Struthio camelus: one gene and its partners. The protein of the gene in region 3 purifies or fractionates together with the protein of the main gene of each other region. This does not show direct contact. Links are inferred from orthologs where the notes say so. Each region holds a gene or a part of one and is shown on either strand. Other genes may lie near its edges. The genes, in order: NCBP3, LARP1 and SRSF3.

Region 1 (3,744 bases), on a different chromosome or scaffold from region 3:
AGCTACGACTTCACAAATCTTGTAACTTAAAAATGCTAATTTTTACAGCTTATAGAGACATCACATCCTGAGACAAAGCATAACCAACAAAAGAAGAATTCTCTAGCTGTTAAAAAATACCACCTATCTGAACATGAAGCTAAACTTCTGTGCCTCTTAGGAAGGAATGAAATGCTTCCTCCTACGCAGCAGCAACAATGAGAACGCTTTGAAGAACCACAGGGTAAAAATTACCTTGGAGGTTACATCTATTCCAGTGATGAAACTTCCAGCTTTGTTTTCATATCTTCTACTAGTGTCCTGAAATAAAGCAGAACGGTGATGATATCTTGATGAACACCAAAACCAACAAACTTGCTATTCTGAAAAAAAAAAAAAGGGGCTATTTCTACAAGAAATCCATCCTCTTGATCCATACTCCAAGCTACATCCCTAAATAGGTATATAAACATAACTCTCACTGACGTGAGTGAGAGTGCACATCAAATGAACCAAACTTCCTTAATATGAAGACTCTCTTCTTTGGTAATATTCAGTGTCTGTATCTGCCACCGCTAAGGTTTTTACTTACCCCGTCTCAGCAATGCAATGGAAGTGATCAAAAACCTTTTCTAATTAAAATTGCCACAATTTTAACTTCAGGTATAATCTCCTTGGAAAACATTAACAGATTTAACGTTCAGACCATAAAGATAGCAGACTCCTAGAGTTCCAATTTACAACTTCAAGTTACAGTCAAAGTCAGAACACCAACCCTTTTTCACAGTTAAACAAGCAACTTTCATCCCTCTTCCATTCATTATTTTACAACTTATTTCCAAAAAAACCCAGTAATACGAAACATTAACTTTTTGGATACAAACCTTTTGATAGAGTAAATATTAAGAACAACGCAGGAAAAAAAACAAATCACAAGTTTCATTCTCATCAGTCCGGTCTGCTGAATTTGCAAGACCGCACTAAACCCCATAGACACTGGGCCAGTCACTCAACTCAATCCCTTCCATTGTTTGCTTTATGTAACAATGGCGCCTTTTCATTCTGGCACTGGTACCCTCAGGACCATCACCAGGTAGGTGTAAATGTGTTGTTTACATTTGTGTTGCAATAATTATTTTGGCTAAAGCACTTTTTCCAGGAAGTAATCCAGTCTCAGTTTAGAGATAGCAAAGCCCACAGAATCTAACCCCTTTTCTTAGTAACAGGTCAGACTTCCTCTGGAGCAGCAAAACGTGAAGAGTTATTACAACAGGGAACAAAAATATATTACTTGAAACTGGAAAAAATACTGCCTGGGTTTGACTCATGAAAAACAAAGAAGTGGAGTAAGGTGCTGTCTCTTAGACCACAGAGTTGGTAGGAGCTAAAGCATGCTAGCACATTAGCTAATTAGAGAATCATTTCTACAATAACTTCCACAGAAGTTTTCAGAGTAAAAAAAAAAAAAAAAAAAAACAGACGACTTAGGAGTTTAGCTCTCCTCCGACCCACTTTTTACTTTTTAAGTATTAAAGCTCTCCTCACTAGATTGTATCCGGCGCAATTAGCATAAATTAAAAAAAAAAAAAATCCTTCAAGCCCCGCTTTTCAAAGCCCCGTACCCCAGTGCCTCCAACCCCCTTCCCCAGGGTCACCCCCGTGTCCCCTCTACCAAGCACTCCTCTCACGTTGCCACCCCCAGCCCCACACCAGTCCCCTCAAACCCTTCCCCACCGACTCCCTTACCCCCTGCGCCCCCCAAGTACGTCCCGGCCGCTTCCTCCTACACTCCCCTCAGGGGCCCCCGGCCCCCCTCCCTCAAATCCCCTCACAACCCCCTCGCGGGCGCCGCCCCTTCCCCCCGCGGGCGCCCCCAAACCCCCTCACAGGCCCCCGGCCCTCCTCCTCCCTCCCCCGGGGCTGGTCCCTCCTTCGCCCCCCTGCCCCGATCCCACCTCCCGCCCCTCACCGGGATGAGCTCCCGCAGCGAGCGCCTCACGGGGATGGTCTCCAGTTCGCCCTCTTCCACCTCCATAGGCTCCGGCTCCGGGCCGCGGGGCTCCGCCGTTGTCGCCGTTGCCTCCGCCTTCACCGAGATCCGCAGGCCCCGCACAGCCGCCATGGCTCCGCCAGGCCCGCCCTCGGCCCGGCCAGCGAGGCGGTCCCGCCGCGGCGCAGAGCGCCGCCGCCCACAGCCACCACCGAGCCACAAGGCGGATAGAGCGCCACCCAAGGCTACGAGCGGGAGCGGCGCCGACGGCCCGCTCTGGTGCGCCTCAGCGCCATAGAGACGCGGTGAGAGGGCGGCTCCGCGGGTCCTCCAGCGTTACGGATCGGCAGAGGGCTAAAGCGGCCATTTTCCCCACAGACAGCTGCTCGCCGCGGCCCTGACCTCGGGGCGCTGAGGGAAGGGCGAAGGGAGGCAGGCGCGCCGCCTTCCTCCAGCCCTCAATGGCGTCGCTTGCAGCTGATACCCCTGAGTGGATTTTTCTGTTGTGAATTTGCTGAGATTTTGAATGCCTGCCCCGCCTTGGGCAGCACTGAACGTCTGAGTGTGAGGAGCAGGCCTTGGATCCGTGGGATCCTTTCACATGAGCCGCTGCGCCGCCATGTGCTCTCCTATGTCTGGAAAATTAGAGCAAAGCAGAAAAGTCGTAGGGAAAAGAATACATGCTGTACAGAGAAATACAGAATGAGATGGAGGGGATGGGTTGTAAGGTCCAGACCTTGTCAGCGCAGGCTCTGCTTTCTACAATGACTTTTATAATGATCTGACTCCTTAAAATGTTAGTGTGTTTTTTTTTTTTCTCCGCTCCCCTCTGTTCTATAGGAAGGTCCTTCTGGATTTCTACACATCTGATGAAAGAAATCTAATTTCCAGCTTAAAAGTTATTCATGGCAAGTCTCTAGCCTATTGTTCTTGGGCTGAGTTTGGGCTATTTTAACAGAAAAGTCCTAGCTCTTCTTGGCCTTCCTTTCACTGGGCTAAGTCACACTGTTTGGATCCATTATCATGAAACAAATTCTTCATTCCTCTAATTATCCTAATCTCTGTAGTTCAGCTATATCTTCCCTGGACACAGCAGACCAGAACTGTGTTTTAGCTGAGGGCTCGCTAGGGCTTTAGTCAATGGCATCAGCGCTTCCCCTCCGCGGCGAGACACCGCAGTTGATATATTCCACCGTGGCAGCTGCGTTTTGTCAGCTGCATCACATCTGCAGCTCACAGTCACTTTAAACTAACCTGCTCAGGTTACACATCCACCTTGGTTGTCACATCCAGCCAATTTCAGTAGAAATTCCTCATATTTCTTGGGCTGCTCCATTCCTCAATTTTGTACAATTTCTGACCAAAACCCTCAAAATTATCCCCTGTGATATGTCGCCTTTCCTTTGATTTGATAGTACTTCCCAGTAAATTTCAGTAGCCAATTTTGACTTTTCCAGCGTGGTGTGGAGAGATTTTGTAGCTGGCAACGTAAAGGCTCCTGCCCTTATACGTACTCCAGTGGGACCAATATTTTTTCTCACTACAAGTCACACCTTCCAGGCTTACTATTTTTAACAGTCTCTGTGTAGAAGTCCTTACACAACAGCTAATGTCAGCTGCACTCCTCAGCGTGCTATATTTGGTGCTGACATCATGTAGCTAGTATCTGGCAAGAACCACAGAAACATGATACTTCCAAACCAGATGTGAACAGTTATGGCAGAGACCAAACACACATACGTAACATGGACATGTGAGTAGTAAATAGGACATAA
Region 2 (3,744 bases), on a different chromosome or scaffold from region 3:
CCAGTTGTGTTTCTAGTAACATTAGAGAGATCATTATTCATTGCCAAATCTGCTGCTGGTAGCCTAGAATAAACTCATAACACAACTGTGGCGCAACCATTGGGGGGAATTATTTCAATCTGAGCCGACCCAAACTGCTGTACCTATTTCTTCGCTGTCTACCACATCGTGACCATTTAATGCTGGCGTACAACCTTTATTCCTGCGACGCCTCCGACGGGAACCGACGGCGTTTGCTTTCACCCCATTTATTAGTCATACAACAAGAGGCCTTACATGCCCCGGTAGTTCACATTCCCCTATTTTCTTGCAGAGGCTCTGGGCGTCTGCCCCCCCCGGCACGGGCAGGGCCGAGCCGCGGCGGGTGCCCTCGGCGCCCCCCCGGGAGCCGCCGCCGGCGGGCAGCAAGCAGGGCCCGGCCGTCTGCGCCGGGCAGCCGGGACGGAGCCCGGGGGGGGGAAGGGGAAGGGGGGCAGGAAGCGGCAGTGCGCGGAGTGGGCCGGGCCGGGCCACCTCCGCGCCACCGCGGCGCGGCCCCTTTAAGCGCCCCCCGCGCCGCCGGGCGTTGCATCAGGCACGTGCGCGCGGCCGGCCGGTCGGGCGGCGGGCGGGGGCGCGCCCCGCCCCTCCCCGCCCCTCCGCTCCCTTCCCTTTCCCTCCGCTCGCCGGTGGCGCGCGCGCGCGTGCGCGCGGGCCGGGGCGGGCCGGGCCGGGGCGGCGCGCGCCCCCGCGGCAGTCGCGTGGTCCCCGCGCGTCTCCATATTGCTGCGGCTGCCTCGGCGGCACGGGGGGGGGGAGGGCGGGCGGCGGCGCGGCTCGGGGGGCGCCGTGAGCGAGGGGAGTTCCCCGGCGGGGCGGGGGCGCGCAGATGGCGACGCAGGTGGAGGCGCTGCTGCCCGGCGCCCCGCTGCTGCCCGCCGAGGAGCGCGCCCTGGTGCTGAAGCCGCCGCAGGACGGCGGCCGGGAGAAGGGCGAGCCGCCCATGGGCCCCGACGGCGGCCCCGCGGCGCCGCGGCCGCCCAGCGCCAAGCAGCAGAAGGAGGAGAGCAACAACCAGGAGAAGGAGAGCCTGCTGCGGGCGGGCGGCGGCGCCGAGGCGGAGGAGGGCGGCGAGCCGGGCGGCGCGGGGCGCCGGGAGTTCATCGAGGCCCCGCCGCCCAAGGTGAACCCGTGGACGAAGAACGCCCCCGCGGCCGTGCTGACGGTGAACGGGCAGTCGCCTCCAGGTGGGTGCCGCGGCCGCCGGGGGGGGGGGGAGAGGAGGAGGAAGGGGGGGGGAGCTGCGCCGCCGACCCCACCCCGCCCCGGCCGCCCGCCCGCGCCATGCGGCACGGCGTGGGGACGGCGCGGCCCGCGGCGCCGGGGCGGGGGGCGCCCCGCGTGTCAGCCCGGTGGCCGGCGTGTGTGCGTGCGGGGTGGGGGGAGCGCCGCTCCCGGGAAGTAGGAAGCGTTGGAGCCTGCCGTAGCCATGAGGCGCGCGGAGCGTGGGCGAGGGGGAGGGGAGCGCGGCGCGGCCCGGGCAGTGGCCATGCGGCTCCGAGGCCGGGGGCAGGGGCGGCGGGGCCGGGGGGGGGCGGGAGGGAGCTGAGGGCTCGGCGGCGCCGCGGCGAACGTTACGGGGCCGCGGCGCCAGCGGCCCGGCCGCGTTCCGAACGTTCCGAGCGCCGGCGCGTGTGCGCGCGCGCGTGAGCGCGTGTGTGTCTGTGTCTGTGCGCGCGCGCGCCGCGGCGGCGGCGGCGGCCTCCCCTTCCCAGCATTCCGCCGCAGCGCAGGCAACGTGGTTGCTTCCCCGGCTCGCTGCGAGCATGTGATTTCCCCCGAGTGCGCGGCGGGGCCTCCCTGCTGCGCTCCCCGCCCCGGGAGGCGGCGGCGGGGCCCGGCCCGGCTCGGCTCGGCCCGGCCCGCGGCGCCCATGTGCTCGGCGCCCTGCCCACGTGTGCGCCCCCCCCCTCCCCCCCGCGGCCGCGCCTAGGCCGCGGCGGCGCCTTTCTCTGCCGATTCATGGCCGCGGGTGGGCCGGGGGTGGCCGCGGCTCTGCCCTTCCGCGCCGGCTGGCGTGAGCGCTGCAGGGCGGCTTAAAAGCTGCTCTGTAGCAGTGCCCGCTGCGGCGCTGTCATGGTATCGGGGCCTTCCTCGCGGCGCTGGGCCGCTTCGGGCAGCGTTCAGCGGGAGCGAGTCAAAGCGGTACGGGACAAACGGTGCGTTTGTAGTCCGCCGCTGTTTTAAGCGGAGGCTGAATTTGCAGAACACCATTTCCTTGTTAGTTGAGTAGATGTCATTTTTACCGAGAGGGATTGCCTAGCACCGACTCACTCCACATGGGTGCGAGAGGAAAACACGGAAGTTTTCGGTGAACATCTTGTTTGGGAAAGACTCTTAATTTTTCCAGTCAGCCTCTGTAAACACGAAATAACACTGCCAGATATGACGTCAGATTTCTCGTTACTGTATGTGCTAGCGTTTTGCAAGAACTGAGACTAACATGATGATTCATTGGAGGTACTGGTTTTTGGAAGATGGACAGCTCTGTGATTTCCACCTGGAAAGCTGTCATCTTACATGGGGAAAATAGAGGATACGTTAATTGTGCCAAGTGAAAGTCTGTTCAGGTAGGTTTTTGGTCTGTCATCGTATGCAATGATGTAAGCATAACTTAACAAAACCTAGAGCAGTTTGCTGTTTACGTTTGCCTCTTGGTGCGTGACATAAAGCCGGTGACGTTACTCCTTTACGCAAAAGTGAGGCTGCATCACGCTGCTTTCTGGAGTAACGTTCCCTAGAAATAAACCAAAAGGTTCAAAAATGCTGTATAATACAGGATGCTGAGGAGTTGAGGGCTGGTGTCTTTCCGGTTCTGTTTATTCCATACGTCATCATGGCGTGTCTCATCTACATCTACAACATCTACTGAGTTACAGTATCTTTTTTGTTTCTCACTGTTAAAATTACATATTTCTATTTAACATTAGGTAAATACAGATGTGCTCTCTGTGTCCCTTTCTACCTTTCTGTCTTGTATGTTCCTATTTGAGGCTTTAACGCTCATGTTTAAAGCTCATAGAGGACAGCATTCTGTTACCAGGCCCCTTGCAAAGCTGGGAGAACGCGGCGATAGAGGCTGAATGAACGGTAGGAGCTCTGTCAAACGCTGAGTTGAAGAGGAGGGGGTCTTTGCGACTTAGGAGGCGATTTTTAAGGGGAGCATGTGTGCCTTACGGTGAGGTAAGGAAATAATCTCGCAACACCTAGAATTCTGTTGGGCTTGACAGAAGTGTCCCAGTATTCCCGAAGGTGTTTAAATAATGGAATTGATTAGTGGTGCGTTTGTGATGCTTGGCAGCAATGTCTGGTTCATACACTGCTGCCCTAGACGCTGCTGCTTGGCTCTCTTGCGCTGGGGGCTTTGTTTCTTTTGCTGCCTGTTTCGTTAGCAGAGAAGAAAACGTGTAAAATAACCATGACTCTCCCACGAGAGGCAGACTCACAGCTGACCTTGCATAGCCGGCCTTCGCCTGAATGTGTTCTTCTAAACTTGGTAGGCCCCTGTCGTGTCTTTACTGCTTTGGGTAGAGGATTTGAAGAACTTTTGTAACTAAACTTTTGTAAAAGTTTACAAAAAAAAACATTTGGAGTGTGAGTTTGAAGAAGACATGTTGGCAAGGTGAATTTTCATGTTGCTGTGACTTCCAGAAGCTCTTCTGAGGAAAAAATGACTACTTTGTATGTGTAAACAAATTGGTGGGT
Region 3 (3,744 bases):
GTTATGTGATATGAAGAAGGGTCTAGTAAACATTGCAAAAACCTGTCAGGAAGGGAGGCAAACATGGGAAATCACCATCTCAAAGAAGTCTTTGAAGTCAAATGGTTAATTGCAATTATTTCCTTTGTTTTTGTGGTCTCAGGAAATTAACTATCAGCTAATCTACAGTAAATTACGTTTCCTTAAGTTAAAGCTGATAACTGTCAGATAACTGTACACACGTTAAAGCTATTTTAGAGCATTGATTACGTCAAAATTCTTGTTGGTTTTCTGCCACTTGGCCCACTTTCATTCTTACAAGCCTTTTACTTGTAAGAGGCTCTTAGAACTAATGAAGGAGGCTGTAAAAGGATTTTTGGAAAATTCAAATGAATTATGTTAGCTGGTTGTCCTTAATCCAAATATTTTGACATGCTGGTAGAACTGCAGTAGATTGAGGATGTCTCTTCCTCTGCGGAATTCCTGGTCAGAAGACAAAACGCATACACATTAATTTGCGCCCAAAATACCTTACCCCATTTAATACTCCCAGTATTACTGTCCACACATGTATCAGATAAACTTGTCTTGCTCAGTCCAAGTCAAAAAGGTAAACTAAAGCCTAGACTGGTACATTAAACACAACCTAGAGATAGGGCTGCAAAATGGCATCTTAGTAAATTGCTGCAGAAACTCTCCTTGATGCGTTTCTTATGTTGCTTGAGATAACACAGAATAAGAAGTTTGTTCTGGAGAAAATCACTGTGTGTTTTTTTTTTTTTAACTACTCTCTGGACAGTCAGTTATGGACTGTTGCCAGAGTAATAATAAAGCACATCACCACCACGGAAAGCTGTCCTCTGACTATGTTCTCTGTAACTAAAATTCCTCGGTTTAAATCCCAGCTCTTCCGACTTGCTCTCAAGCGTCGAATAAGCCCTTTCTCTCCTTTGTGCCTCAGTAGGCACCAGCCAAAGCATAATAAAACCTACAAAAACCTCTGGGGTAACAGTGGTTTTGCCACGTAATTACTTCAAGGCCCGGCCCTTGGGGATAAGTAGCTATTTGCAACTCTAAGCTATCATATATGTAAAACCTTAACGATTCGGGCAAGAACCTGGAGAACACCACCTGAACGAGAAAAAGAAAGAAAAACTCCTTTTTCCTTTAAGCAAACAAGACAGCCTCCCTGGGGCGTTTCCCCTTTCCTTATTTCTGGGGCCTGAGGTCTTCCTCCGGTAAGCAGCTGCCAAAGGGGGGACTCGGGGCGAGAGGAGGACCTCAGCCCGCGGGAGGCGATCACTAACGGCCGCCGGCCACAGCCCCGTGACGAAACCCGCCCTGCCGCCATTTTGGGCCGCGCGGCGGGAATAGGCGTGTTCGGCGGGGGGGCGGGACGAAGCGGAATGTCAGTCAGCGGAGCGGCGCCCTCTGATTTGCCGTCGGCCGCCGTCTTGCGAGAGCGCGCTGCCCGTATATAAAGGCGGGCGGGGTAGGCGCCCGCCGCCATTTTGTCCAGTGAGGAAAAGCGGAGCGGGAGTCTCGTTGGGGGTCGAGTCGGCTACGAAATTAGCGCGGGCTCCCTTCGCGCGCCCTCCCTCTTAGCATCGGTGAGGACCTTCACCTCGGAGGGCGGGGGGGGAGGGGGGAAACGGCAGCGGCGGTCCCGGTCCCCGGAAGGGCGGATGGAAGTGGCGGGGCCCGGCAGCGGCGAACAAAGAGCCGCCGCCATTTTGTAAAGCCGGGCCCCGGGCGGCGGCTGCCGCTGCGCCACGGCGAGCCGGGCAGGGAAGAGGCGGGTAGGCCACGGATTGTCTTGAGGGGCCCGCTCGTCGCACTCTCTCCGCGACGGTGGCCAGTGGGGCGAGGTGCGGCCGGGCGGGGGGAGCCGCGAAGGTGCCGTGGCGCCTTGCCGCCCGCTCCGAGGTGGCGGTGGTTCGCCACGCCGTGCCGAGGAGACTCCAGGCACTTCCCGAGCGCTCCCGGCACGGTCCCTGCCGAGGATGGCGCCGCGCTTCGCCCCGGCATAGGCAGCTTCCCCCGAGGGCCGCTCCGAGAACAATGGAGCCCTTCACCCGCGCAGCGCTCCCCCTGCAGGCCCGCCCCCGCTGTAACCCCGGGGGCTGGGGCGGGGGACGCAGAGGAACACTCTTGTTCAAAGTTGGAAGCAATACAAATCGATCTCCCTGAGACAGTCTCACACAGAAATAACAAATTAATATTAGTTTAACAGTGAAGGCAAGGCAGCAACTTTTTTTGCCCGCTCTCCCCCAAGGTGCTCCCCTACCACCAGCCACATGCAAACAATGATATATCTAGGGTAGCCTGTCTTTATATATCAGATCACGGTGCTCTTGCAGTTTCTTGGACAAAAAAATCAACTGAATTATTTTCTGACCAAGTGAATAAACCGTTGTTGTCTGTTAAATATACATGAGCTTTTTTGTTTCTTTTTGACCTAGCAATGCATCGTGACTCTTGTCCGCTGGACTGCAAGGTTTATGTGGGTAACCTTGGAAACAATGGCAATAAAACGGAGTTAGAGCGAGCTTTTGGCTACTATGGACCACTGCGCAGTGTGTGGGTGGCAAGAAATCCTCCTGGTTTTGCCTTTGTGGAGTTTGAAGATCCACGGGACGCAGCTGATGCCGTAAGAGAACTAGATGGAAGGTAAAATGTGCTTCTTATGTGTGTGTGGCTTGCTTAATAGAAATAACAGAAACTGTAGCTAGTGATAGAGTTTAAAGCTGGGCAGCTTCAAAGCCAAGTGCTTAATGCGCTTGTTACACAAAATAACTTGTGCAGTGATTTAAGAGCAGTTGTATTTTATAGTGCCGATTTTAAGTAACATTGGGAGAGTTAATTTTACATTTTAGAGTTAAACTCTTAAGTTGGGTATGGCTTGAGCTTCTTATCTACATCAGTTAAGTTCAAGATGGTGTTACTATAAAGAGGTAAAACTGGTAAGTGGAGCTTCTCCAGGTTCCTTCACTTCCTGCTTTAGTAGTTTGGCTTGAGCTTTCAGAAGCGGCCAGACCTTTTATTGGTCGTGTTTTCTGTTTTTTTTAGACTCTGAATAATGTGTGTTTGGCTAAAATGTTGATGGAGTTCCCCCTCCTCCCCCCGGCCCCCCCGGTTATTCATTCCTCTTTCCTCTCCAATTCTGTGAGCTTCCCTTTTTGCAAACAAGGTCGTTGCTAGAAGTGCTAGCTAATGGCAGTTTCTTTTTCAGAACCCTCTGTGGGTGTCGTGTCAGAGTGGAGCTCTCCAATGGTGAAAAACGGAGTCGGAACCGTGGTCCACCTCCGTCCTGGGGCCGGCGCCCTCGAGATGACTATCGCAGAAGAAGTCCTCCTCCTCGCCGCAGGTACCCTAGGTCAAAGTACCCTCATAGAGCTGTTGGCACTGTTACCACTTAGCATTGTAGAAGCAGGCTTTTTAAAGCATGTTGATGGATAACGTTCATCTATCTGATCACAGTTTGGAGATGCCAAACGCTAAAAAATCAAAATCGAGGTGAACATAAGTTGTGTTGAATGTTGGCTTTTGTCCTTAGGTGACTGTGCAAGTTGGTAGTCAGCGCCCTCTATCCTGGATTTATCCTCTTTCCTCCTAAAATCTGCTCATCTTCTAGTCACACTTTCCCTTTCTTCCCCATACTTCAACTTAGGCTGTTCCTTTCCTTTATTCCATAATGGCAAAACATTACATACAGCAACTTGGCTTTTTCATGCAGATGTATTTCTCCACTTTGTTTGCACAATT

Evidence for each region.
Region 1: the proteins of SRSF3 (region 3) and NCBP3 purify together in Homo sapiens (co-immunoprecipitation; 3 studies listed by BioGRID and IntAct, with this or other methods). This does not show direct contact. The link is inferred for Struthio camelus from reciprocal best matches to the Homo sapiens genes SRSF3 and NCBP3.
Region 2: the proteins of SRSF3 (region 3) and LARP1 purify together in Homo sapiens (co-immunoprecipitation; 3 studies listed by BioGRID and IntAct, with this or other methods). This does not show direct contact. The link is inferred for Struthio camelus from reciprocal best matches to the Homo sapiens genes SRSF3 and LARP1.

The regions. Positions count from the first base shown.
Region 1 is NC_090957.1:15,832,492-15,836,235, forward strand, and holds the start of NCBP3 (nuclear cap-binding protein subunit 3), read right to left. Parts: upstream 2,605-3,744; 5' UTR 2,102-2,604; coding exon 1,949-2,101; intron 301-1,948; coding exon 235-300; intron 1-234. UniProt on the Homo sapiens protein: Associates with NCBP1/CBP80 to form an alternative cap-binding complex (CBC) which plays a key role in mRNA export. NCBP3 serves as adapter protein linking the capped RNAs (m7GpppG-capped RNA) to NCBP1/CBP80.
Region 2 is NC_090954.1:12,071,071-12,074,814, reverse strand, and holds the start of LARP1 (la-related protein 1), read left to right. Parts: upstream 1-853; 5' UTR 854-868; coding exon 869-1,226; intron 1,227-2,514; exon of another isoform or gene 2,515-2,609; intron 2,610-3,744. UniProt on the Homo sapiens protein: RNA-binding protein that regulates the translation of specific target mRNA species downstream of the mTORC1 complex, in function of growth signals and nutrient availability.
Region 3 is NC_090965.1:4,705,449-4,709,192, forward strand, and holds the start of SRSF3 (serine/arginine-rich splicing factor 3), read left to right. Parts: upstream 1-1,374; 5' UTR 1,375-1,589; intron 1,590-2,441; 5' UTR 2,442-2,443; coding exon 2,444-2,649; intron 2,650-3,211; coding exon 3,212-3,346; intron 3,347-3,744. UniProt on the Homo sapiens protein: Splicing factor, which binds the consensus motif 5'-C[ACU][AU]C[ACU][AC]C-3' within pre-mRNA and promotes specific exons inclusion during alternative splicing.